Callithrix jacchus: one gene and its partners. The protein of the gene in region 1 interacts with the protein of each later gene in a pairwise test. Links are inferred from orthologs where the notes say so. Each region holds a gene or a part of one and is shown on either strand. Other genes may lie near its edges.

Region 1 (4,007 bases):
GGCGCCTGTACTCTGTGTTATATAAGTGCTTAAAAAAATATTTGCTCATTGGCAAAGTTATGTGTGATTACCAGAGCATCCAAGAAGAGTGTCATGCTTTAAGTTTACTTGGTGATGAGCGGTGGTCTTAGCTTGAGATACCCTTTTAAGATAATATAGGACCCTTTAAAAAAAAGTCATTAGGTAGAATTGTAAGGCATTAAAAGTTGGTTTTGTGAAGTGTATTATGAATTGGTGAGAATTCTTATTGATAAAAATATCCCACATATATCCTTTTTAGTTTTCAAACTATTGAATGATTTTTAGTCTCTGATGGAAACTTAGTAGTTATGAGTTGCCAGTTATTAAAGCATCTGTCTCTTTTTCCCTTCCCGTTCCCCACCCCGTAAAACAAGTACTCACTTGTACTCAATTATGGCTATTTTTCCCCCCACTAAAATAGGCAAAAGTAAAAACCATCAGCTATACTGATAGCTGGGAACACCCCTTGGTCCTCCTCCACCCATTATTCTGTTCTAATTGGTTTGGGGTGATGCCTTGACATCTATAATGTTAAAAAGCTTTCCTGGTGATTCTAACATGTAGCCAGGGCAGAGAACCATTGCACAGCATTGTTTTGTCACTTTGTAGGCTAGATGTTGCTACAGTGGTTTAAGGTAAGTCAAAAATATGTTGTTAGGAACATGGGAAGGAAAAAATGGAATTGGAAAGGAGACGTCGAAGAATTACAACATGCAGACTTTTCTGCTTTGTCTAAAAGCTTCCTCTTGATTGTTTTTCCTGCAAAGAGTAGTTGATGTTTATCATGGACCCATAATTCCACGTAGAATACTTATGGGAATCCTAAGTGATACATTTCATTTGCAGAAGTACCAATGAAAGTTGAGTAGTAGTGTCAGGATATTCCTTTATGTTTACATGATAAAGTAAGTCATAGGAAAGATTATTTTCCCTATCAAATTAGAAGCTTATTGTAGCACTATAAACGAGTACATTAAATGCAAAAAGGCTTTTATTATTTTTTAAAGTCAGAAAGAAACCTGACCTCTGAGTCAATGTTTCCTGTCTACCTTATGTAATCCCAAATATCCAAATCTCAGAGCAGATCTTATGGATGGTTTATGAAGGCTTATGTAAGAACTATGACTGTGCTTTTGGTACTCCATTAAACTCCCTGTTTTGGCTATTATATAATTGACACGGAACTAGACTGTTAAAGCCAAAATCCGGGAGGATGCCCAAACCCACGCCGGCATACGTACTTTTATAATGAATTGCTGTTGCCAAATTAGAGGGAACAGCAGGGATGGTGGTTTGCGAAAGAGAGGTAAGAATAGTGTCTCCGGGATTGATGTAATAGAAGACTGTTAGGCTTGGCGATTTTCTGGAGACTTGAATGCTGTGGCAGAAACCTCTCTAGTCCTTTCTGTCTTCTAGCAGAGGCAGATCGACTGGGGAGCTAATGAACCTAAGCCTCAGGCTTCTTTGGAGCCCTCTGGGAGGGGCGCTGGCAGTGTGTTCATGTGGTCATCCCTGAGTTTGTATTTGTACTTTTGGATTCTTTTTTTTTAATAGGGAGAGTACTCTTTTTTTTATTTCTTTTACTTTAAGTTCTGGGGTACATGTGCAGATCTTGCAGGATTGTTACATAGGTATACACATGCCATGGTGGTTTGCTGCCTCCATCCCCCTGTCACCTACATTAGGTATTTCTCCTGACGTTACCCCTCTCCAACCTCCCAACCCCCTGCTGTCCCTCTCCTAGCCCACCAACTCACTAGAGACCCCAGTGTGTGATGTTCCTTTCCCTGTGTCCATGAGTTCTCATTGTTCAGTAGCCACTTATGAGTGAGAACATGTGGTATTTGGTTTTCTGTTCTTGTGTCAGTTTGCTGAGAATGATGCTTTCCAGATTCATCCCTGTCCCTGCAAAGGACATGAACTCACCATTTTTATGGCTGCATAGTATTCCATGGTGTATATGTGCCACATTTTCTTTATCCAGTCTATCCTTGCTGGGCATTTGGGTTGGTTCCAAGTCTTTGCTATTGTAAACAGTGCCACAATAAACATACATGTGCATTTGTCTTTATAGGAGAATGACTTATAATCCTTTGAGTATATACCCAGTAATGGGATTGCTGGGTCAAATGGTATTTCTAGTTCTAGATCCTTGAGGAATCGCCACACTGCCTTCTGCAATAGTTGGACTAATTTACACTCCCACCAACAGTGTAAAAGCATTCCTATTTCTCCACGTCTGGAAGAGTACTCTTTCTGCTCTCCCACTCCCCCAATTATGTAAACCCAAGGTTCCACAAACCCTGAATTTGTCCGTCTCTAACTTATGTTCAAATATTAAATTATAAAGTTGCCTATTCTTCGTTTAATTTTTGTTGTCCGAAAAGATTAAAAAAAAGTCTAGACAATATCATAGTTGACTTGCTGAGAGACTGCAAACTGCTATAACCTAGGGCTGTGTGGAGCCACTGAAATCAGGCACTTACCTGGAGAACCAGCTTTTTGCCTCGTGATCTCACATGCGTGGGACTGTTTTGGTTCAGTGTGTGAACTGGAGATGGAGAAGAATGGAAATGGGGTGGGGAAGGGAGGAAAGTGGGTTAAAGCTCTTCCTCTTCTCAGAGGCAAGATGCCACGGGGAAAGGAAGAAAAAAAAAACTACTGAAAGATGCTTCATTAATAAAATGTTAATTGGAACAGATCGCATCAGCTCCATAGGAGATCCTTCTGTAAGCTTCTTAGGATTGGTCTCTAATACGAATTTTCAACAGTGAGCAAACAAACTCAGTCCTGGAAAATATCCTACAGGAAACAAATGCAGGTTTGGAAGGACTAGATGAATATCAGCTTGTTCCCATTAGCAGTTTTTATGAGCGAGTGGGAGGCTTATAATATCCACCACACACATGTTTGAAATGAGTTGTTGAAAAGAGTCAAGGAGTTTCCCTTTTGCTCTGAAGTGATTTCTACTTCCTGTGTGAATTTGGATGCCTTTCGATCTTATATTCTTGACCCTTCCCACCTCGTCTATCCATCCATCCATCCATCGTCTGTATACCATCTACCCACCCATCCATAGAGACTCTCTTTTTGACCAAACTTTAGTCAGGCTCCCCTGAGCCCTCTTCTCAACTAGGCCTCGGTCTTGGCCTGTAAGAACTGCTGCTTTCAACAAAAACAATTTTATCTGTGCTTCCACCCTCCAAGGGATTTGAAAACACCCTAGCATTGTGTATTAGCCTGTTCTCACCCTGCTAATAAAGACATACCCAAGACTGGGTAATTTATAAAGGAAAGTGGTTTAATTGACTTATAGTTCAGCATGGCTGGGGAGGAAGGAGAAGCAAACACGTCCTTCTTCCTGTGGCAGCAGGAGAGAGAAGAATGAGCAAAAGGGGGAAAAACACCATATAAAATCATCAGATTTCATAAGAACTTAGAGCAGCATGAGGGTAATTGCCTCCATGATTAAATTACCTCCCACCTCGTTCCTCTCATGACACATGGGGATTATGGGGACTACAATTCATGGTGACATTTGTGTGGGGGACAGCCAAACCATATAATGTGGTGTCTAGCACCCTAAGACCATGTTCCTGGGATGACCCAACCTCACTTGCATTCCTACCTAGAAAAGCTCAAGGCTGCCCCAAAGAATTTATCTTTTGTTCTAACTTGTGCAAATGATAATAGGCCCCTGACTTTCCTTTTGTTAGATTATTTATTAAAAACCTGTAATTCTTTCTCTGTGCTTTGAGATGTAATGTGTATCTCCTGCCACCTGAAGTGTCTTCCTCAGTGTCTATGAGCCATTCCTTTGAAATGAAACTATCAGGAAGGATAGGGCTCTGTCCCCTAGTCTCTGTAGGGGGGTAGGAGCCTAACTTGGACAAGTGCATTTCCCAGTCACAGATGGCGTAATCTCATTGGCAAGCCCCCTTGCCTGCTTGCTGGAATGTTCTATATCCTTGACCCTGCTTGAGCTG
Region 2 (4,017 bases), on another chromosome or scaffold:
CTGAAGTCTTCATTTTGTTCACTGATGTATTCCAGGCTCTAGAATAGTGTCTGACACATGTTTTGGGTCCCTAAATATTTTTTGAATGTATGATGAGTATCACACATACTATCTTTATAATTATAAACCTAATATACAAAACAACGGCCGGGGCCGGGGCCCTAGAACTTTGGGAGGCTGAGGTGGGTAGCCTGCTTGAGCTCAGAAGTTTGAGACCAGCCTGGGCAGCATCTTTTTCTTTTTTTTGAGAAAGGGTCTCACTCTGTCACCCAGACTGGAGTGCAATGGCAGGATCTTGGCTCACTGCAACCTCTGCCTCCTGGGTTCAAGACATTCTCTTGCCTCAGCCTCCTGAGTAGCTGGGATAACTGGAGGACACCACCATATCCAGCTAACTTTTACATTTTTAGTAGAGATGGGGTTTTACCATGTTGGCCAGGCTGGTCTTGAACTCCTGACCTCAAGTAATCCCAGAATTTTGGGAGGCTAAGGCGGGCAGATCACGAGGTCAAAGGATTGAGAGCATCTTGGCCAACATGGAGAAACCCCGTCTCTACTAAAAATACAAAAATTAGTTGGGCATGGTGGTCCGCGCCTTTTGTCCCAACTACAGGGGAGGCTGAGGCAGGAAAATCGCTTGAACCCAGGGGGCAGAGGTTGCAGTGAGCCGACATCGCGCCACTGCTGCAGAGCGAGACTCCGTCTCAAAAAAAAAAAAAGCGTAGTATACAAAATAAAGCTAGGAATATTCCCTGAATCCTCCTGCCTATGGAATGAAGTCCACAGACTTGGAAGAGCGTTGAAGCCCCTCTAAAGCCACTCCCTTCCTCCAGCCTCTCGGCCCGTAGCTCAGCACTAGCAGTTCACTCCCGGCGATACCTCCCGCCGCCACGAGGAGACGCCCCAGCACCGCCCTCTGTCAAAGCCCAAACAATATTGCCACGTGACCCGCTCCGCATCCACGTGACCAGCGTCGCACGCGGTGGGCGTCAGGTGACGGGCTCAGTAGTTCTCCAATCGCTGTGCACGTTGTGGGGTTTCCACTTAGGGCTCGGTCTGAGGCTTGTAACACCACATTCTCCCCCAAGCCACAGGGGCAGTCTTGCCGCTGGCAGCTGGGTGGCGGTGTCTCTCAAAGGTCCTCTATAGGGGCTTCGTGAGGCCCAAGCCTACAGCACTCAGTTCCGGAAGTGACGTCTCCCAGAGGGGCCGGAAGTGGCAGTGGAGGGAGGGAAGATGGCGGAGGTGGTGAGTCCGGTGCCTGGGGCGGGGCGGAGGGAGCCAGGGGAGGTGGGTAGAGCCCGAGGCCCCCCAGTAGCCGACCCTGGCGCCGCGCTGTCTCCCCAGGGGGAGATAATCGAGGGCTGCCGCCTACCCGTGCTGCGGCGGAACCAGGACAACGAAGATGAGTGGCGTGAGTGACGTCGGGGGGCGGGGCTAAGGAACCTGAGGGCGAGGGGCGGGAGGGAGTCCACTGAACCCCCGGGATGGGGAGGGGCCTCTGGAATTATGGGGCGGGCGGGGCTCAGACACTCCGATGAAGGGGCGTGGCTCTTAGCTGCTATGAGAGGTACAGGGCGGGGTCTGGAAAGGGGTGGCACTTGTGACTGAAGGAGGCTTGGATGAGACCTTCCAAGTGCTGCAGCTTAGGGATCCGGCCTGGGGGTGGAGTTCAGGTCGTGGAAGGGTGGAGTCTCATGGCCTGGCCCGTCTAAGGTCCCTGCCTATGCTGTTCCCATAGCACTGGCCGAGATCCTGAGTGTGAAGGACATCAGTGGCCGGAAGCTTTTCTACGTCCATTACATTGATTGTGAGTTCTGGGCCTAAGGTGGGGCAGCAGGGTAGGGGGTTGGGGGGCAGTCTTTGGCATTCCTTCCTGAGCCATCCCCACTGCTACAGTCAACAAACGTCTGGATGAATGGGTGACGCACGAGCGGCTGGACCTAAAGAAGATCCAGTTCCCCAAGAAAGAGGCCAAGACCCCCACCAAGAACGGACTTCCTGGGTCCCGTCCCGGCTCTCCAGAGAGAGAGGTGGTGAGTAGGTCCCCCACTTCACCTCATCTCTCCTGCCTCCTATTTCTCTTATCTGTTGGCATTTAGGGGCTCCTGGATGGGCAGGAGGCGGCATCCTCTTACCCTGACTTCAGCTTGCAAAAGATGGGGGCCAAATTGCACATGTAGCTCCCAGAGTCCAGTAGTTAGTCCTGTGTCCTTCAGAAGGCAGAGGGTGGGGTTTGATAATTTTAAGCTGAGGGGCCCCTCTTCCCCTTCCCCATCCCACTGCCATCCCCGCCCCAGAGGAAGACCCTGGACCTATCTCTACAGCCGGCCTCGGCCCAGGCCAGCGGGAAGACCTTGCCAATCCCGGTCCAGATCACACTCCGCTTCAACCTGCCCAAGGAGCGGGAGGCCATTCCCGGTGGCGAGCCTGACCAGCCGCTCTCCTCCAGCTCCTGCCTGCAGCCCAACCACCGCTCAACGGTACCCTCAGCAATTCCAGGGACCTTGCTTTCTTCTCAGGTCCCACCTTCTCTACCCTCTGACCCACCTTTGTTGGTTTCTCTCTGCAGAAACGGAAGGTGGAGGTGGTTTCACCAGCAACTCCAGTGCCCAGTGAGACAGCCCCAGCTTCGGTTTTTCCCCAGGTGAGTTCCCCAAACCATTTCTTGTTCCTTTCCTCTCTTCTGCCCTCTGGTGGCCCTTTTCAAGCTCATCTCACAGTCATCCCTTCTTTTCCTGGTATCTCATCTGCAGAATGGAGCAGCACGTAGGGCAGTGGCAGCCCAGCCAGGACGGAAGCGAAAATCAAATTGTCTGGGCACTGATGAGGTGGGTCTGGGGAGCAGCAGAAGGGAGCTGCGTGAAAAGGAAGGGATGCAGGCAGGGTGGAGAGTTATTTAGTGATGAGTATAAAAATGAAGGGGTGGTGGACCTGGGCAGGGCTAGTGTTGGTAGGATTAGGAGCCAGGCAGAACATGGTTCAAATGAATCATTGGGGCTGGGCACCATGGTGCACACCTGTAATCCCAGCACTTTGGGAGGCCAAGGTGGGTGGATCACCTGAGGTCAGGAGTTTGAGACCAGCCTGGCCAACATGGCAAAACCTCATCTCTACTAAAAATAAAAAAATTGGTTGGGCACAGTGGCTGACACCTGTAATCCCAGCTCTTTGAGAGGCCAAGGTGGGTGGGTCATGAGGTCAAGAGATTGAGACCACCCTGTCCAACATGGTAGTGAAACATGGTGAAACCCCATCTCTACTAAAAGTAAAAAATCAGCTGGGCCTGGTGGCGCACGCCTGTAATCCCAGCTACTTGGGAGGCCGAGGCAGGAGAAACGTTTGAACCCCGGAGGTGGAGGTTGCAGTGAGCTGAGATTACACCACTGGTACTCCAGCCTGGGAAAAAAGTGAGCCTTTGTCTCAAAAAAAAAAAAAAATTAGCCAGACATAGTGGCAGGCACCCGTAATCCCAGCTACTCCGGAGGCTGAGGCCAGAGAATCTCTTGAAGCCCGGAGGTGAAGGTTGCAGCAAGCCAAGATTGCACCACTGCACCTCATCCTGGGCGACAGAGTGAGACTCCATCTCCAAAATGATCATTGGGTGATGTTTTCCACATCATCAGTCCCTTAGGGTTTCAGGTTTTACGTCTGGAAATTGGGGGTCATGGTACCTTCCCTATAGGGTTGCTGTTAGGCTTGAAGGAAACCTGTTGAGGGGGTGTGAGCTGTGGTGTCCTGCTGAGCTGTCTCGTCTAACCTGGTGTCTTCTACTCGCCCTGGGCAGGACTCCCAGGACAGCTCAGATGGAATACCATCGGCACCACGCATGACTGGCAGCCTGGTGTCTGACCGGAGCCACGACGACATCGTCACCCGGATGAAGAACATTGAGTGTATCGAGCTGGGCCGGCACCGCCTCAAGCCGTGGTACTTCTCCCCGTACCCACAGGAGCTCACTACATTGCCTGTCCTCTACCTGTGCGAGTTCTGCCTCAAGTACGGCCGTAGCCTCAA
Region 3 (3,500 bases), on another chromosome or scaffold:
TTGAACTTAGCTTCTTGTTTTCAAAAGGAGGTAGTGACAAATGATACCTCGGATGATTGTTAAGATCAAGTGAGAACAGGCACAGTGGCTTACGTCTGTAATCCCAACACTTTGGGAGGCTGAGGCGGGTGGATCACCTGAGGTCAGGAGTTCGATACCAGCCTGGCCAACATGGCGAAACCCCATCTCTACTAAAAGTACAAAAATTAGCCAGGTGTGATGGCGTGTGCCTGTAATCCCAGCTACTTGGGAGGCTGAGGCAGGAGAATCACTTAAACCCGGGAGGCGGAGGTGTCAGTGAGCTGAGATCATGCCACTACACTCCAGCCTGGGCAACAAGAGTGAAACTATTGTCTCAAAAAAAAGATAATGAGAGACTGCATGAAATAGCAAGTCAGGAAAATAAAGTCCTATGCCAGCAAGCAGTGATGATAAAAACACAACCAGTAATATTATGTGACACATGGCGCCAGAAGTGAATGACTCTGTTGGTCCCCAGGAATAGATTGGAAATTTCCTCTTTCCCAGCTGCTGTTGAACAATAGTGGAAGTCCCTGGTGTCCGTGATACAACCTCAGGGCCCCTACTGACTAGAGAAGGGACTGAGAAAAAGAATTTTTTTTCTGTAAAGTAGAAGCTGTTTTTCCTGCTGTAGAATTAGAGAGTTTATTCAGTGCTTTCAGAATTCTTTCATATTTCATTTTAATCCGCAGGAGATTGGAAATTTTGTTCTTATTTAATAGATAAATAGCTGAGGGATGTAAAAACATGTTCACAATCACCCCACAAATTAAAGAGCAAGTCAGGGAAGTCGCTGTTTGGTCTGCTGGTTCCGTCTCAGAATCAGCTGGACGAGCACAGTGTCAAGTGCTGGCTCCATGGCTGGCTGTTCTGCGACATTAGGCAGATTTCTTAACCATCCAATGCCTCCATTTCTTCATCTGTAACATCCAGGCCTTTCCTTTTGCCACCTTCTCTTTCTGCTGTAGGCCTGGGTTGCCAACTATGAGAGACCCCGAATGAACGCCAACTCCCTCCTGGCCAGTCCCACGGGCCTCAGCCCCTACCTGCGCTTTGGTTGTCTCTCCTGCCGCCTCTTCTACTACCGCCTGTGGGACCTTTATAAAAAGGTAAGAGGGACACACCTGCCCAAGTCACAGCTAAGGTCTGCAGCCAGGCGTTTTGGGCTTGTTAGTTGCCCTAAAAAAAGAGGCATTGGTGGGAGGGGGTTGGGCTGTGGCCCCTGGAAGGGCCTAAGTGTGCAGATAGTCCAGAGGAGGAGAGAAGAGTCAATACCCCACAGGGCAGGGGCAAGCACAGAGTGAACTGCCCACCGGAATGGAGCCCAGGCTCCATTCTTCTGTAGAGCAGAAGGGCAGGCAGAAAGCAGGCCTCAGGTGTGACTCTAGAGGTATCAGATCCTCTGGCAGCTGGTGGATGGGGGTGAGGTCCCCAGGTGAGAGGCATGGAGCGGGTGAGGCTGGAGCCAGTCTGCAGCTGAAGAGCACAGAAGGGGAGTCTAGGAGCAGCAGTTGTCCATCAGTGATGGAGGGAGTGGTCTGGAGAGGCTGCACACACAGCTGTGCTATACAGACAAGAAGCAAATAAGCCTGTGTTAAGTGTCCCCAGAAGGCGAGAGGGCAGCACAGTCAACATTCAGAGTGATCACATTACTTGTGCCTATGATTTTTTTGTTTCTGTTGTTTTTTTTTAAGACAGAGTCTAGCTCTGTTACCCAGGCTGGAGTTTAGTGTAGGCTGATCACAGCTCACTGCAACCTCAGACTCCTGGGCTCAAGCAATCCCCCTGCCTCAGCCTCTCAAGCAGCTGGAACCAAAGGTGTGTGCCACCATGCCAAGCTAATTTCTTAAGTTTTTTGTGGAGATGGGGTCTCGCTATGTTGCCCACAAGCAATTCTCCTGCCTCATCCTCCCATAGTGCTGGGATTACAGATGGAGCCACCATGCCCAGCTGCTGTGTCTGTGTTTGTTTTTGTTTGTTTGTTTGTTTTTGAGCCAGGATCTCATTCTTTCACCGAGGCTGGAGTGCAGTGGTATGATCATAGCTCACTGAAGCCATAACCTTTCGGGCTCAGGAGATCCTCCTACCCCAGCTTCCCAGGTAGCTGGGGCTACAGGCTCATGCCACCACACCTGGCTGATTTTTTTGTATCTTTTGTAGAGACTGGGTTTTCCCATGTTGCCCAGGCTGTTCTCAAACTCCTGGGTTCAAGCAGTCTACCCACCTCAGCCTCTCAAAGTTCTGGGATTACAGGTGCGAGCCACCACACCTGGCCACAGCTACATTTTTTTAGTGTTATCTCCCCATCCTTGCCATTTTTGAGATTTTGTGGCATGGGGTAGCTTTGCCAGTCTGGTGAGTAATCTTGTGGCTTTAGGGAAGTCATTATTTGCTTGGAGGTCTGATTTCTTAATTACTTTATGGTCCCAGATCCAGGCTGTGTGTATAACTTATTCAACCAGAATCTAGACAACATTTTTCATGTGCGCTGATAGGAAGACTCCTTTTGACTGTCTAAAAGGTGGAGCAAAACAGGGAACTCTGAGGACAAGGAACATGACGAGCCTTGGGAAATTTGCTTCCTAGTGCAGAGTCCTGTGGTGAGGTTCCTTCCCACTGCCCGGCCCTCTGTAGCTTTCTTCTTGCTCAGAGCAGTGGCATAGTGCAGGCAGGGCCTGAGTGTTGCACCTGCAGGTCCGCTGTGCCGCTTCTAGGGGATAGTTCCTCCACATCTGGGGTTGAGCCGCCGAGTCTGTGGAGGGCCCAGATTCCTTTGTAGAAGACACCTGAGAGGCGTCATGCTAAGAGCTCAGCGAGTGTTTGTACCCGTGTGCCACCCTACCCTCAGGTGAAGCGGAACAGCACACCTCCCCTCTCCCTGTTTGGGCAACTCCTATGGCGAGAGTTCTTCTACACGGCAGCTACCAACAACCCCAGGTTTGACCGCATGGAGGGGAACCCCATCTGCATCCAGATCCCCTGGGACCGCAATCCTGAGGCCCTGGCCAAGTGGGCCGAGGGCAAGACAGGCTTCCCTTGGATTGATGCCATCATGACCCAACTGAGGCAGGAGGGCTGGATCCACCACCTGGCCCGGCACGCCGTGGCCTGCTTCCTGACCCGCGGGGACCTCTGGGTCAGCTGGGAGAGCGGGGTCCGGGTGAGTGCTCTCTCAGCAAAAAGCTGGCCTGTACCCTCTGGTCAGGCCCAGCAAAGGGCAGCCCCCATCTGGGCTGAGGGATGGGTTGGGATTTCTGGGTCCAGGAGATCCCCTCTAGATCTTCTGTGGCTTGCCTTCAGCAGAAGAGTTTTGGCTCCTGGGGGCACTGTGGTGACTTGGGAAGAAACATGGCAGCAGGTCCCCAAGGAGACTGATCGTCCCTCCCCTATTTAGGTATTTGATGAGCTGCTCCTGGATGCAGATTTCAGCGTGAATGCAGGCAGCTGGATGTGGCTGTCATGCAGTGCTTTCTTCCAGC
Region 4 (3,998 bases), about 110 Mb from region 1:
GGATGATCACACACCACTTAAAAATATCTTAACACCTTTACTTAGATCGCCTCTCTTACTTGCCGCATTTCTTCAAATGTACTTTGAAAAAACAGCTTCACTGCGTCTGGCTGTCAGACACATTCTTCTACCCAACCATGGACCTCTTTCTTCCTCTCAGGCGTACCTCATCTAATTTTTTTAGCACTGGCCTGGCCTTTTTGGAGGAGGTGGAGTAGCTCTTCAGAAAGGCTTCAAACACAGTTTCAGTGTTGGGATGGGTACTGAGGAAGGCCTTCTCCAGGACGTAGAGGTCTACTCCCTTATCCTCTGGAAGTGCTGAAATGAAACTCAGCCCAAAGTCTATCAGCACGATATTCAGCTGTTCGAGGGGTGGTTTCAGGAGCATGTTGGAGGTGGTGAGATCACCATGAATGAGGTCTTCATCGTGCATTTGAGCCAAAACCTGCCCAATTGCCTTGGCTAAGTTGGAGAGGCTCTGGGGAGTTTTTTCAGTCTCCATAGTGGACTGAATATAATCTCGAACAGTCACCGAGCCTTCAATTTCTTCCATATATAAGCAGTTGGAAGCATAGTCCACAAAAAAGACAACTGGGGCAGATATTCCTGAAATCAAGACATAAGTGGTTATTGCACTGGATTTTCTTTTTTAATGGTAAACTTAATTTTCAAAGATTAAGCCAGTTTTTCCAACTATATCTACTTATTTCAGGATGATTTAGGAATGCTGCAGGAAATGGCACAACTTAACTCATCTGGAATATTCCCCTGCTCACGCCCACTGCAGGACTATGCCTGGGACCACCCCACAGCTAAGCTGAGGAGGCAAAAGCTTCCTCCTCCCTTCCAAACCACCCTTTCTCACTGAACTTCATTTATCACACTCTCTCCCTGAAAAAAAAAAAAAAACAAAGGCCAGGTGCAGTGGCTCATACCTGTAATCCCAGCACTTTGGGAGGCTGAGGCAGGCGGATCACTTGAGGTCAGAAGTTCGAGACCAGCCTGGCCAACATGGTCAAACCCCATCTCTACTAAAAATACAAAAATACAAGTAGCTCGTACTACCAGCTACTTGGGAGGGTGAGGCAGGAGAATAGCTTGAACCCAGGGGGTAGAAGTTGCAGTGAGCCGAGATCACGCAACTACACCACTCCAGCCTTGGTAACAGAGCGAAACACTGTCTCAAAAACAAAAAACGAAAATAAAGAGCAAGGCACAGCCCAATCAGGGCAGGTTCTACTGATGAGGTCACAAACAGGAGGCCAAGCAGTGGGCTGACTTTGAGGTTCATCTTCAGAGAGGACAGGGTTCAAATCCCATCTCCTTTTCTTATTAGTTCTCTAATCTTAAAGTTACATTAACTTCTCTAAGCTTCAGTTTCTGCTGCTATAACATAGGAACAACAGCTCCAATAAACTCAATGAATCTTTACCGAAGGTCAACCAGGCTCAGTATACTTTTCTAGAAACTTAGAGATAAATCAATGGGGATACAGCAATAAACGAGGCAGTTATAATACAATTCCTGCTTAACATAACATATCATAAGAGGTGGAAAACAGAAATACGAACACACAAATAACTTCATGAAATCTTGTCTTTACAAGGGCGGCATGTGTCTGCTTGTTGGCTAATGAATTTCTGGGCTCCCCTCCCCCAGATCTCCCAGCACTTAACAATGTTCTGGTGCCCACCGCTGTCTAAAAAATATTGATAAAAGAAAGAAAGGCAAGAAGTGTAAAAGTGAAAAGCCAGTGCTTCTGAGTCAGGGGCATACGGATCTGAGGGCCTGGACCAGCCACTTAGTAGCTGTGTAACCTTGGGCAAGTTACTTCTCTCTTGAGTGCCAATTTCTCATCTGAGGACAAGGTTTATTGTGCTGGCGCACAATGATGTTTAATGAAAAAATAAATAGGCAATTTAATGAAGTCCAACATTTATTGAGCACTACGTGCCAGGCACACATTTGAACATAATACGTGGCACATATACCTTCTCTAATGGTCACAACATCCCTACGACATGGATACTGCTACTATGTCTCCCATTTCACAGGTGAGAAAACTGAGGGTGAGAGGCTAAATAACTTGTTGAAAGGCTACATAAGCAGCAGCAGAGTTAGTATATCAACCCAAAGAGCCTGGCTCCAGATTTAATTACATCTGTTTCTTAAGACTAATAAGTAAACAGATAATGATTGAAAATTGAAACGAGTCAAATAGGGAAACCAAGGCTCAGGGAAGTTAAACATGTTCAACGCTGAGCAATAATGACAGAGCCCAGATCTGAACCAGGCAGAACGGCCCAGGACAAACGCTTGACCCTGCACGGCCACGTGGTTTCTTAAGACTTAATGACGAAAGGTATGAAAGAATAACATTTCCGAAAGGCAGGCCACGGCAGAAGGCACATAAGGAGAGACTAAGGCAAATCAAGGCTAGGAGAGCAGAAGAGTACCTCACTCGTCCAAGCCCCAGAGCCTCGGGGCCACCCACGCCGGGATCCCGGCCCACCTTACCCGCGCGGCGGCAGCGGAGGAGGGCCCGGGCCTCCTGCACAGTCCGTCGCCTGCCAAGCCGCGCCTCCAGCGCCGGGTGCCGGTAACCCTTGGGGAAGCGGTGCTTCACCACCGCCGCGCGACCCTGGAAGCGGCCGCGGAATACGCGCGCCTCAGCGCCCTGCTTCACCAGCTCCAGGCCGCTCAAGAAGCTGCTGCTCCGCTCGCGGGCCGCGGCCAGAGCCTCAGCCTCCGGCGCTGGTTCCTCGCCACCGTCCGACACAGCAGCTCTGGATGCCGCCATGACTGTGGTCCGCGAAACAGTTCCGATCGATCAGCGGTCCCTGAAAACGATCGCGATGCTTCGGCTCGCTTCGGAAATCCTCGGACTTCTGCTACCCGAACGCGTCTACCCCGGAAACTTCCGGCCTGTGAGTGGCTACGCCTCCCAACTTTTAGGCTCTTTCTGAAGCCTTGGGTTCCCTGCAGGAAGGGCTCTTGTGGCCCCGCCTTCCACCTCTTCCGTTATCTCCGTAGCGTTCGGCAACTCTCGGAAAGCGGCCCTTCCCCACTCCTCGGCTCTCTCCGGAAATCTTCGGTGACTCTCGCAGCCGGCTTTGGGGCCCACCTCCAAACTGGTTGTCTCTTTCCGGAAAACTTCGGCGCCTGTCGAGAAAAACGTCGGACGCTCTCTGCTCTTTTCAGGAGTCTTCCTGGACAGCTGCACCCGCTAGTAGTTTGTTTTTGGAACTCCTCTTCCCCTGACTCCTAAATTTTCCCCAGAATGTAGTCAAACTAGTCAGAGTCGCGCGGGTCAAGACAATGAACCCATGTTTCCGACATCGTCTTAAGTGTTAGGTTAACCACCATTTAGTGCATTCAGAAGAAATAAGGATAAATGATGAAAACCCTTCCTACGGAAAAGAAAATGGAGACTCAGAGAGGGCAATGGGGGTGGTAGGATGGGGCAGGGAGTGGGGGCTGGGGAATCCCGGAAAATTTTCCGGAGACAGAACATAAACTGAATTGGGAGTAATTAAGCTTTTTCAGTTTCTACCTGTTTCATTATAAAGCTAATACAGGCCGTAGCAAATTCTTACAATACAGAACTTTGCACACACACACATGCATCAAAACCTGCCTATCGCCCTTGCAATGTGACGCCGCTGGCCGTTAGTTTCTTTCCAGGCTTTTCTTTTATTCAATGCGCACACTCACACATGGTTGTGGCGTTTTTTCCAATATGAACGACATCATACTGTGGGTTCTTTTGCAACTTGCTTTTCATTCTCCTAGACAATTTATCTCGGACTATATTCTATTTCAGTGCATGCAGAGCTACCACGTCCTTCTACCTGTTGCGAAACAGTTGTTTCCAGTTTGTTGTTTTTCAGGAAAACATTTTACTATTACCAGTTTCTTATAAAAGATAGTATAAGAGATAAAAATGAACAGCCAAATGAAGAGATACAGGGGTAAAATTTAAAATGGTAGGCATTTAT
Region 5 (3,500 bases), on another chromosome or scaffold:
CTGGGATTACAGGAGAGAGCCACTACACTTGGCTTTAATTTTGTTTTTTCGATTGTTTCTGAGAAAGCATTAGTGAACTACTTGACTTACAAGATTAATTGTGGTCACTGTAGTTTCATTCACTAAAATATTCCCAGAGAAAAAAGCTGACCTTGCAGTGTCTTCCAGGCAGGATATCTTTTAATGGAAAAGAATCTTTGTTTTAATTAGCAATAACAAATCTGAATTCTGTATAATTGCTCTTACCAGCCAGATGTTAGGGAGTTGGATGATAGCTATAAATATTTATCCCGTGATAGTGTCCTGTTTAACATATGACTTTACTAACAGGCTCGTGAAGCTGTGGAAATGCGTGCCCAAGTAGAGAGAAAAATGGCTCAAAAAGAAAAGGAAAAACATGAAGAGAAACTTAGAGAAATGGCCCAGAAAGCCAGGGAGAGAAGAGCTGGGATCAAAACTCATGTGGAAAAAGGTATGACATTCTCATTACTGAATTGAATTTACTTGGTGAACAAAATATATCTCATTTTAGAAAATATTTTTTTCCTACTGCATATAAAGTAGGTACATATAAACAAAATTTAGATACTTCAGATATAGTTTAGAAATGGAGAGTAATCTGTGTGTTAGTAAGCTGAAGCAACAGGAGATAAGAGTGTATATTTAAAGGTGGGCCTTCAGTTTGGGACTGTACCAGAAGTTTTTAAACTTCTGAGTAATATACTTTTCAAAATTGCATTATTACTCAAATGATAGGCTTCATTTTTCTCTTATTTTAATCTCAAAACTTAAGAGAAATTAGGTCTCTAATTGAATAACTCAACTCCCTCATATGGTAAAATAATCCAGAGTTTTTCTGTCTTGTAGGCTAATGCATTTCTAATCATTAAATCTTCCAGTATTTTCTCTCTGGCTTTACTTAGTCGTCTACATTGGTGTTTTAATTCAATTGAAGTGGGAAGATGAATCCTAATTGAAATTTTGTAAGGGTGGTTTTTCTTGCATTACTAAATTCTTACCTAGTACATTTATTCATTCTTTTATTTATGTAGTTCATATTGAGCATCTGCTGTGTGCAGGGTTTCCTTTTAGATGTAAGGGGTTTTTGCTAGACAGTGGATGGGGGAATGGGATATAACAGTTAACATTCTAGTGAGTGTAGACAGACAAAAGTTAATCATGTAGTATAGTAAAAGGTAGTAATTGCTGTGGAGGAAAAACAATACAGGGAAGGAGGATATAAAATTGCCAGAAGGTGAGAGTGATCAAAGAGCCCTCACTTCTGACATAGTGCTTTTAGCAGAAATACTTGAAGGAAGTAAGGAAGCAAGCCATGTGAATATCTGGGGGAAGCACATCCCACAAAGAAGGGCCAGCCAGTACAAGGCTCTGAGATGGGGGTATGCCTAGAGTGGCTCAAGGAAGAGCAGACAGGACATTAAGCCTGGATTGTATGAGAAAGAAGGGGAGAAGTAGGAGATATGGTGTCAGAATAGTTAGGGCAGGTGGGAAGAGTAGTGGCCAGATTATGTTTGGCCACTGCTTAACCATTATAAAGATAAACCTTCTACTTCAAGTGAAAAGGGAAGCAATTGCAGCGCTTTGAGTAGAGTGATGTGATCTAACATTGTTTTCCAGCTTTATTGAGGTATAATTGGCAAATAAAAATTGTATAAAGTATACAGCAAGATGTTTTAATATACACTGTGTTCACCAGTGTCCAGCCAGTTAATTTACCAATCACCTCTTATAGTTACTTTTTAAATTTTTTGTTGAGAACATATAAGATCTACTGTCTTATGTTACTGGATGGAAAGTCTCAACTGTTGTCAAAAAAAAAAAAAAAGATCTACTCTCAGCAAATTTCAAATATACAATGCAGTATTTTTAACCATAGTTACCATACAGTATGTTAGATCTCCAGAATTTACTCATCCTGCATAAATCAAACTTTGTACCATATGACCATTTCCCCTAACATTTATTTTTGAAAGACCTCCCTGGCTGCTGTCTTAAAAATACATTACTGTGAAATGGGCATGGGTTAATGCCTTCCAAATAAAACTATAAGAGATATGGTAGCAAGTGGTAGCTAAAACATAGTCAGATATTGGATGTACGTTGGTGGTAGAGTGGACAAAATTTGTTTGTGGATTAGATGGAGATACAAAAAAAAATTAGGAGTTAAGGATGACTCTGCACCTGGCCTTTCCTGCTATTTTATTATGAAAATTTTCAAACATACAGAAAAGCTAAAAGAATTATATAATGAACACCCATATCTCCTACCACTTAGTCTGTGCTTAATTTTTTTTCTTAACAATTAACATTGCTCCCATGAACTTAACAGCTTCACTGCTAAATTCTTCCAGACATTTAAAGAACTAAATACCAGTTGGACTCAAACTATTCCAAAAAATTTAAGAGAAGGGAATGCTCCCAAATTTATTCTACAAAGTCATTAGACAAGTATACAACAAATAAGAAAACCACAGGCTAACATCCTTGATAGTTATAGATGTAAAAATCCTTAACAAAATTCTAACAAACAGAATTCAACAAGACATTAAAAAGTCATTCATCATAATCAACTGAACTGTCCTTCATCCCAAGGATGCAAGGATGATTCAGTATATGCAAATCAGTAAGTGTGATACATCACATTAATAGAACCAAGAATAAGAACCATAGCATCATTTCAGTAGAAACTGAAAAAGCATTTGATAAAATTCAATATCCCTTCATGATGAAAACAGTCAACAAAGTGGGCTTAGAAGAAACATCCCTAAAAATATTTAAGGCCACATATGACAGACCCACAGCTGACATTATACTGAATGGAGAAAAATTGAAAGTCTTTACTCTGAGATCTGGAACAAGGCAAGGGTGCCCACTTTCACTACTATAATTCCACATAGGACTGGAAGCCTTGACAGAGGAACATAGGCAAGAGAAAGAAATAAAGAAATCCAGATTGGAAAGGAAGGCCAGGTGTGGTGGCTCACACCTGTAATCCCAGCACTTTGGGAGGCTGAGGCAGGTGGATCAGTTGAGGTCAGGAGTTCAAGACCAGCCTGGCCAACAGGGTGAAACCCCATTTCTACTAAAACTACAAAAATTAGCTGGGTATGGTGGGGCTCACCTATAATCCCAGCTACTTAGGACGCTAAAGCACAAGAATTGCTTAAGCCCGGGAGGCAGAGGTTACAGTGAGCAGCAAGACTGCGCTACTGCACTCCAGCATGGGCAACAAAGCAAGACTCCATCTAAAAAATCAAAACAAGGAAGACATTAAATTATATTTCATCAGAGACAGTATGATCCTATATTTAGAAAAACCTAATGACGCCAACCAAAAAACAAAACTGATAAATGAATTCAGTAACATTACAAGATACAAAACCAACATACAAAAATTTATAGCATTTCTATATACAAATAGCATACTCAAGCTGAAAAACAAAAAGGCAGTCCCATTTATAATAGCTACAAAAAACTAC
Region 6 (3,197 bases), on another chromosome or scaffold:
TGTTTATAGGTGTTCTGTGTGTGCTGGAGGAGAGAATAAGGTGGAAGACTACTTTTACTGTAAGTCTTAGTGGTTTGGCTAATTTTTTATCTACCTAATACTTGCTTTTTTTTCTTTCCATAGCATTATAGCCTTCAGAAAGGCCAACAAAGTGGGTATTTTCATCAAAGTTACCCCACAGCGTGAGGAGGGTGAAGTGACCGTGTGCTTCAAGATGAAGCATGATTTTAAAAACCTGGCAGCCCCTATTCGCCCCATTGAAGAAAGCGAGCAGGGCACAGAAGTCATCTGGCTCACCCAGCATGTGGAACTTAGCTTGGGCCCACTGCTTCCTTAAAAGGTTCCATTGGAGGGCAGATCCCAAAGGACAGTGTCACCATAAACCTGCGTTAAAATGTGGAAGCTGCTGCTTCATTAGGCCTCGTTTATAATGATGTACCCATGCACTACAGAATTCTATTGCTAGGAAAGTGGGAGCATTGGTGAAGCATTGGGAACACAGGGTAACTACTGTTCCTCTTGCTCTCAACTCTGTTGACACCAGTAAGTCTGTGTCTCCCTCACTGAGCCCTGCACATTGAATAACAACAGCATAATTCCATCCTAGGAAAGGGGATGGGTATTCCTTGGAGTGGCATTGTATTTACCACCTGAGAAACTGTACTGTACTGTCTCTTGATCTGATCTCACTAAAAGATCACAATGTCACAGATGAAACTTAAATGATAACCCACAGGTGGACCTGTTATTAATGATCCAGCATTGGTGGCAATGTACCAACTGCTTTCTGCATTCCATTAAATATAATCTAACAGTCTAAAACATATCCCTTCACTTGCCATAATGGCTGCTGTTTTGCCGTAGATTTCTATGTAACAGAAAAATTGAATTGTCACATCATCTTTAGTATTATGATGATTGGAACAGCCTGTGAAGTTGTTAAGGCACTCTCATTTGCCCTCTTTTTCTAAGTGAATACAGGACACTTACTAGTTGTCTTAATTTTTTTCCCAGTATAATATGGGACCATTCAAGAAGAATTTGAGAAGCAAGCAATTACCTGTCGTGTCAAGGGGGTAGCAAATTCCATTCATTTTAAATATTGCCACAACACCCAGGGATTAATGCTGCCACAGGGGAGCGAACTTTATTTGTCTTACTTCCTATGCCTTCTCTGTTCTGCCTCTGTAACTCAGTACGTTCTATTTGGGACCTGGAAAAGAACCCAAAGAAAACCTTTGTGGACAGGTTCACTTCTGGAATGCAGAAAACATTTTAAAGGTTAGATTTTTAGCATATTTTCAACTAGCATTCTTTCCATTGATTTGAAGGGGAAGTTAACTGTTATAATCTCTTGAATCCAAAACTGGATATTAAGAACTTTGCCCCTTACTAAGTTTAAGACTTTGGTCATATGGTGAGTCAAATAAGACCATTTTGATTGTAAACCATAAAATAGTTAAGCAAGTAGCCCACAGCTGTGGCCTAACAGCAGACATGCTGTTTTCACTTGGTATCCTGGAGTTGAGTTGCTAACCTTAGTTTTTATGATGTTTTCTAAAACGAAACTTGACAAAGTAGACCACCAGCTGCACTGTGTTTTCTGTAAAGGTATTGTTAGTAAGTGGCCAAGAGACTTGAGGAAAAGATAAATTTTCTGTTTACCTTGGTCTTGTTTTAAGTCTTTAGTTAAAAAACATAATTAAAGACACAATATAATGTAGAATACAGATGGGAGATAGTCCTTGTAAGCTTCCCTTGAAAATGTTTTAAATATTTAGGAAGCTTGTAAAAGATACTAAATCATGCTCTTAAGGTCTAGCCAACTTTATGAAACAGTCCCACAGAGTAATATATGTGATGCAGTGTAAGAAAGAAAATACTCATCTCTAACGCTATGGTAATAATAAAGTTTAGCCTCTTAGGAGTTGGAGCACAGGGATGGGTAATCACAGATTTGCAGACTATAGAAAGAGTTTGGCTTTTGTTCTGACCCCACAGAGTCTTGGATTTTTATTTCACTGCCTGCTAGGGCTTACCGTGAAGTCACTGCTCCATATTTGCCACCGGAGGAAATGGGCATCAAAGTAGAGAATACTTTCATATGTTTACACGTTTGCATAGACTACACACGTCAGGTAGCTGGGATTTGTTCCCAAAAGTAATAATGTTGAAGTATGGGTCTTATTCCTGTATGACACAGAAACACAAAATACTTTCATTGTAAACTTTTTTCTTCAGAAGCTAAACTTACTTGAATAACAGACCCATTGGTTTAATGTTTCCTCAAGATAGGTTTTAGTGCAAGCTAGTATTCCGCGTGTTTGTAAAAATGATTCAACACCTGCAGCTGGTGAATTAGGAATTGTATTTGTTGCCTTTTTTATATTAGATGAGGTGCAAAAATTTTAATGCTAGTCAGTATGCACCACCACGGGAAAGTTAGTTCTCCTTAGCATTTGAAACTACAGTTTTGGAAACTTAGGCTAAGCTCATTGGGTTTGTTATTTGATTCTCCCACTAACGTCTTCTTTTGTTGGAAGTGCTTGTCAGCATAATGAGCTAAGTGTCATGCGTATTTGTGAAGAAACATCCCTTTTGGGAAGGAGCGGCACTTCTTGATCTTTATGAATCACAGGTTACTGTTTTGCCTTATTGCTTAACTTAATGTAGTGAAATAAAGCAGACAAAGCTTGAGTGTGTCTTTTGTTTTGTTTCATGTAGACACTAAGTAGCATGCCTAGAGTCATAAGATAGGAGTGGAGTTAAGAGAGTTGGTGGGGCATGCTCCCTTCCATTTCTTTAAATGAAGTGATCTAAACTCTTAACAGGCTAGTTCACCGTAATACATAAGTAGAGCTTTGAGCTTCTCATATACATATTCACAGAACCATTACATAAATGTTGTTAGACTTCTGCCAGTTTTTATCCTGGGTCATTGCTTCTAAAGATATCCTTTGCAGCATACACAGTGGTCTGCCTCCACCAATGGCCGCTCATCCACCTTCATCTGTACCTTCATAACTCTTCCTTCCCTCCTGTTACTTAGATGAATTGTTCACACTCTTCTCTCTGAAGCCAGCCCCACCTCTTAACAGTCAAGCACATCCTCTTACCTGTTCACAGATAGCATCGGCAGCTCTCCCCTTCCTTTTTCCATCAGCATGTGATTTATCTCATCTTAAAAAGGAAATTAG
Region 7 (3,930 bases), on another chromosome or scaffold:
AGTCGTTGAACACAATGCTATTTTGCCACTCAGAGAGCATCTGGCAGTCTCTGGAGACATATTTGGTAGTCACCATGGGGAGAGTGGGGAGCCATTGGCATCTAGTGGGTGGAGCCCAGGGATGCTGTTAAATGTTCCCCATAACAGGACAGTCCCCCACACAAAGAACTAGGCAGCCCAAAATGTCAAGCGTGCTGGGCTTAAGAAACCCTTGCCCGAGCGCCCCAGACTTAGTCTTGCTTTGGGGGCTCCGCAGGCTGCTTCATCTCCCCACTCTATTCCTCCCCCAGACCTCCAATTCCAGTGACGCTGTACAAAGCATCCCCTCCTCCAACGAGGCAGCCATCTCTGATGTCCCCAGGCTGGGCCAGAGCCCCACCACTCTAGGGCTACCAGATGCATCCTGTACAAGGTTCGAATTGTCCCGGCCCACCGCGTTCTCAACCATGGCAGATTCCCTGGATCCCTGAGACAGCCGGATTCTACCGGGTTACTAGAGACCAAGAATCTGTATTTTTCTCAAGCACCGCTCCCCGCACCACACACACACACACTGCCTGCCCCATCAAGGGCACACAGCAGGTGGCCCAGTGCTAGTGGAGCGCCTACTGCAAGCCAGGCGCTATTACGCGATCCACTCGGGAATCTTGGCACAGGCTCCACTCCATGGTGTAGAAACCAGGATCTTCCCCATTTCACAGAGCAGTAAACTGAGGCTCAAAGAAGTGACCGTAGCGGGACAGAGACTCAGGGCAGGAAAAGGGCCCAGGTCCTCAGAAGCTCCAGATTCCCGGGGGAGGAGGGAGGACAGAGGAGGGTGATGGACTGGGGGAGCGCGCGCTGGGTGGGGGGGCGCGGGGCTTCGCCGCGGCCTTCCGATGCAGCCCCGCCCCCACGAGGGACGTGAAGACGCGGACCCCGCGCAGCGTGGGGACATGTGACCGACTGCAGAGGCCGCGCCGCCTCCCCCGCCCGAGGTCTGCGCGCTCCGCCGCAGGGTGCAGACCCGGGGCTCCCGCCTGGGTTTGGGGCGCAAGAGCAAAGGCGGAGCCAGGGCGGAGCCAGCGCGCCCGGTCCCCCCCGAACCGAAAGCGAAACAGGGGCCGGGGAGGAAGGGCGGAGCCGGCCCCGAGGCACCGCCCCCTGCCCTGCGCGGCTGCTGGACCGACGGGCGCGCCCAGGTAGGGGGGCGGCTGAGCCGCGCAGTGCGGACCCTCGCGGGGACCTGCGCCGCCGCCACCATGTCTCAGGAAGGTGTGGAGGTAGGAGATGGCTACGGCTGGTCCGGGGGGGAGCCGCGACAGAGCCCGAGGAGCGGCCAGGAGGCGCGGAAGGGGCTTCGCAGTTCCTGGGGACCCCCATCCTAGAACCCCAGATCCTTACCCCTGCCTTGCGCTCGCCCCCCTTGAAAAGGAAAGTGACTCCCACGTTTCCCCAGAGCAAAATGAGGCCTCCCTGAGGAAAAGCGGGGGCTGCAGGGTCAAAGGTCAGAGGCCAGAGATAACCTGGCCGACCCCCCACCTTAGGCTGGGACGCTCGCCCCGGCCCGCGCCCTCCCCCAACGCCCTGTGGGGACTTTGGCTTTTTCCAGGAAATGCCGTAGAGGGATGGGGGGGGGGCGGCGGAGGCCAAAACCAAGGGTCAAGTTCAGGCCGGGAGAACGGTGCCTAGTAATGGGGGAGGGAAGATCGCGCGTCCCCTTCCCCCAGCGGAGCCCCCGTGTCCCCATCCCAGCTGGAGAAGAGCGTCCGGCGCCTCCGGGAGAAGTTTCATGGGAAGGTATCCTCCAAGAAGGCGGGGGCTCTGATGAGGAAATTCGGCAGCGACCACACGGGAGTGGGGCGCTCCATCGTGTACGGTGAGGCTGAGGGGGCCCGGGCCTGGTGCGGGGACCGCGCGTGGGATCGCCGAGGGGGCGTGGTGTAGGGAGAGGCGTTGAGATCACCTCCCCTGGAGATCCCAGCTTGGGGGAGGCTCTGCGTCGCGGTTCTGGGTGGCCTGGAACTCCCACAGACCCTTCAAAGGCCCTTCCCTTATGCGCACTCTCCCCGCAGGGGTAAAGCAAAAAGATGGCCAAGAACTGAGTAACGGCCTGGATGCCCAGGTAACCCTTCCCCTCTCAAAGGACTGGGTCACGGGAGGGAGAGCAAGAGGGGGCCCGACCCGTTCATGGGGACCCTCCTCTGAAACAGCAGGGACCAGGCATTGTCGTCTGCAACTCATGCCCAATCTTACTCACTTTTTCACCTCTCCATCGTTTGCGAGACCAGGGAGCCTGCAAACAGTAGGCGCTCATTATGTGCTGATTGTATTCAATGGGAGAGAGAGAGCCATGAAACTAGGCAATGAAAGGAGCCAGGATTATTGCCATGGTAGGGGAGCCCCAGAGGTCAGAGAAGGCTTCCTGGAGGAGGAGGTACCACGTCTTAAAGGATGGGGTGTAGTGAGCCCTAGGAGGGGAAGCCAGGGGTCTTGGGGTGGGGGAGGGAATGGTATGAGCAAAGACTGGAAGTGGGGAAGGGTTGTTAGTGGCAGTCCCTAAAAAGGCTGCGATGAGCAGGGGATTGGGGAGGAGAGAGAGGTGGGGAAATGGAACCCTTGTGTTGAGTGAGTGAGTGAGTGAGTGAATGAATGAATGAATGAATGGTTTTGAAGCACAGGTTCAACGCGGCTACTTTGCTTCTTGGAGAGCTTTGGTGATGGGAACGCTGTGGATTTCATCTGCCTGAAAGGCTCAGTGTAGGGCTGTAAAAGAGTATAATAAAATATGCATCATAGTCCACATTTACACATGTAAAAGTATGATAAAAATATAGCAGAGGGGCCGGGTGCAGTGGCTCATGCCTGTAATCCCAGCACTTTGGGAGGTAGAGGCAGGCAGATCACTTGACGTCAGGAGTTCGAGATTAGCCTGGCTAACATGGTGAAACCCCGTATCTGCTAAAAACACAAAAAATTAGCTGGGTGTGGTGGTGCATGCCTGCAATCACAGCTACTTGGGAGGCTGAGGCAGGAGAATCACTTGAATCCGAGAGGCGGAGGTTGCAGTGAGCCGAGATCGTGCCATTGCTCTCCAGCCTGGGCGACAAGAGCAAAAAACTCCATCTCAAAAATAAAATAATAATAACAATAACAGAGGGTAGCATTGATTGAGTACTTCCCACATGGCGAGACTCCAGGAATTGATTTATTTCATCACCACAGTGACCCAGGAGACAGGTCCTATTATTTATCATCCCCATTTCATAGACAAAGAAACTGAGGCTTAAGTCACTTGCCAGGTTCTCGAGGCAAGCAGGTGGCAGCTGAGATTTGAACCCTGGCCACCTGGAGTCAGAGCCTGAGCTCTGACATGCCTGTCAGTCAGTGGGAACCCAGGGGGCAGGGAGTGGCTTGCCCAAGTCCCCACAACTGGAAGTGATAGAGTTAGGATTCAAACCTGAATCTCAACCCAGATTCCCACCACTTATCTCTGGCACAGTGTGGCGTCAAAGGGGTGATGCATCACAACACCAACAAGCATGTAGCATTTGCAGGCAGGAAGTGAGTATGGGAGTCAGGCTGGCTTCACTCAGGCAAGTCCTCCACTAAGCCTCAGTTTCTCCAGTGCAGCAATAATGTCACAGGTGTGCCCACTTCTCAGGGCTGTTATGAGGACAACTGAGACCACACACCTGGCTCTCAGTAAGTGGGCAGTGCTCTGTGAGTTCCTGGCGAGTTAGGGGCACCCCATTTTCCTTGTAGCCAGGCCTCTACCCCAGCAAACAGATGGAAAGAGGCCTGAGCCCCATCCCCCATTTCTGCCCCTGCTATCTCCACCCAGGACCCACCAGAAGATATGAAACAGGACCGGGACATTGAGGTGAGTTGGTGGCTGTGGCTAGGGATGGGGAAGTGGGGAGGAGGACATCTGCAGGCACAGAAGCATGT

What was found.
Region 2: the proteins of MTUS2 (region 1) and KAT5 interact in binary tests that used the Homo sapiens proteins (3 or more experiments, as listed by UniProt). The two-hybrid records come from large-scale screens. The link is inferred for Callithrix jacchus from reciprocal best matches to the Homo sapiens genes MTUS2 and KAT5.
Region 3: the proteins of MTUS2 (region 1) and CRY2 interact in binary tests that used the Homo sapiens proteins (3 or more experiments, as listed by UniProt). The two-hybrid records come from large-scale screens. The link is inferred for Callithrix jacchus from reciprocal best matches to the Homo sapiens genes MTUS2 and CRY2.
Region 4: the proteins of MTUS2 (region 1) and TP53RK interact in binary tests that used the Homo sapiens proteins (3 or more experiments, as listed by UniProt). The two-hybrid records come from large-scale screens. The link is inferred for Callithrix jacchus from reciprocal best matches to the Homo sapiens genes MTUS2 and TP53RK.
Region 5: the proteins of MTUS2 (region 1) and SNW1 interact in binary tests that used the Homo sapiens proteins (3 or more experiments, as listed by UniProt). The two-hybrid records come from large-scale screens. The link is inferred for Callithrix jacchus from reciprocal best matches to the Homo sapiens genes MTUS2 and SNW1.
Region 6: the proteins of MTUS2 (region 1) and DCTN4 interact in binary tests that used the Homo sapiens proteins (3 or more experiments, as listed by UniProt). The two-hybrid records come from large-scale screens. The link is inferred for Callithrix jacchus from reciprocal best matches to the Homo sapiens genes MTUS2 and DCTN4.
Region 7: the proteins of MTUS2 (region 1) and SHFL interact in binary tests that used the Homo sapiens proteins (3 or more experiments, as listed by UniProt). The two-hybrid records come from large-scale screens. The link is inferred for Callithrix jacchus from reciprocal best matches to the Homo sapiens genes MTUS2 and SHFL.

The regions. Positions count from the first base shown.
Region 1 is NC_133506.1:147,967,852-147,971,858, forward strand, and holds the start of MTUS2 (microtubule-associated tumor suppressor candidate 2), read left to right. Parts: upstream 1-1,207; 5' UTR 1,208-1,327; intron 1,328-4,007. UniProt on the Homo sapiens protein: Binds microtubules. Together with MAPRE1 may target the microtubule depolymerase KIF2C to the plus-end of microtubules. May regulate the dynamics of microtubules at their growing distal tip.
Region 2 is NC_133511.1:122,803,676-122,807,692, forward strand, and holds the start of KAT5 (histone acetyltransferase KAT5), read left to right. Parts: upstream 1-1,217; 5' UTR 1,218-1,236; coding exon 1,237-1,414; intron 1,415-1,741; coding exon 1,742-1,810; intron 1,811-1,899; coding exon 1,900-2,036; intron 2,037-2,300; coding exon 2,301-2,483; intron 2,484-2,572; coding exon 2,573-2,647; intron 2,648-2,756; coding exon 2,757-2,831; intron 2,832-3,787; coding exon 3,788-4,017. UniProt on the Homo sapiens protein: Catalytic subunit of the NuA4 histone acetyltransferase complex, a multiprotein complex involved in transcriptional activation of select genes principally by acetylation of nucleosomal histones H2A and H4.
Region 3 is NC_133511.1:110,891,850-110,895,349, forward strand, and holds part of CRY2 (cryptochrome-2), read left to right. Parts: intron 1-989; coding exon 990-1,130; intron 1,131-2,869; coding exon 2,870-3,181; intron 3,182-3,415; coding exon 3,416-3,500. UniProt on the Homo sapiens protein: Transcriptional repressor which forms a core component of the circadian clock.
Region 4 is NC_133506.1:41,910,517-41,914,514, forward strand, and holds the start of TP53RK (EKC/KEOPS complex subunit TP53RK), read right to left. Parts: upstream 2,801-3,998; coding exon 2,518-2,800; intron 607-2,517; coding exon 167-606; coding exon of another isoform or gene 128-166; exon of another isoform or gene 21-127; intron 1-20. Other genes in the region: uncharacterized protein LOC144582859, read left to right, coding at 2,799-2,927, 3,034-3,261.
Region 5 is NC_133509.1:112,686,042-112,689,541, reverse strand, and holds part of SNW1 (SNW domain-containing protein 1), read left to right. Parts: intron 1-330; coding exon 331-472; intron 473-3,500. UniProt on the Homo sapiens protein: Involved in pre-mRNA splicing as component of the spliceosome. As a component of the minor spliceosome, involved in the splicing of U12-type introns in pre-mRNAs.
Region 6 is NC_133503.1:49,422,559-49,425,755, reverse strand, and holds the end of DCTN4 (dynactin subunit 4), read left to right. Parts: intron 1-123; coding exon 124-337; 3' UTR 338-2,697; downstream 2,698-3,197. UniProt on the Homo sapiens protein: Part of the dynactin complex that activates the molecular motor dynein for ultra-processive transport along microtubules.
Region 7 is NC_133523.1:9,278,982-9,282,911, forward strand, and holds the start of SHFL (shiftless antiviral inhibitor of ribosomal frameshifting protein), read left to right. Parts: upstream 1-1,130; 5' UTR 1,131-1,241; coding exon 1,242-1,262; intron 1,263-1,734; coding exon 1,735-1,858; intron 1,859-2,054; coding exon 2,055-2,104; intron 2,105-3,823; coding exon 3,824-3,862; intron 3,863-3,930.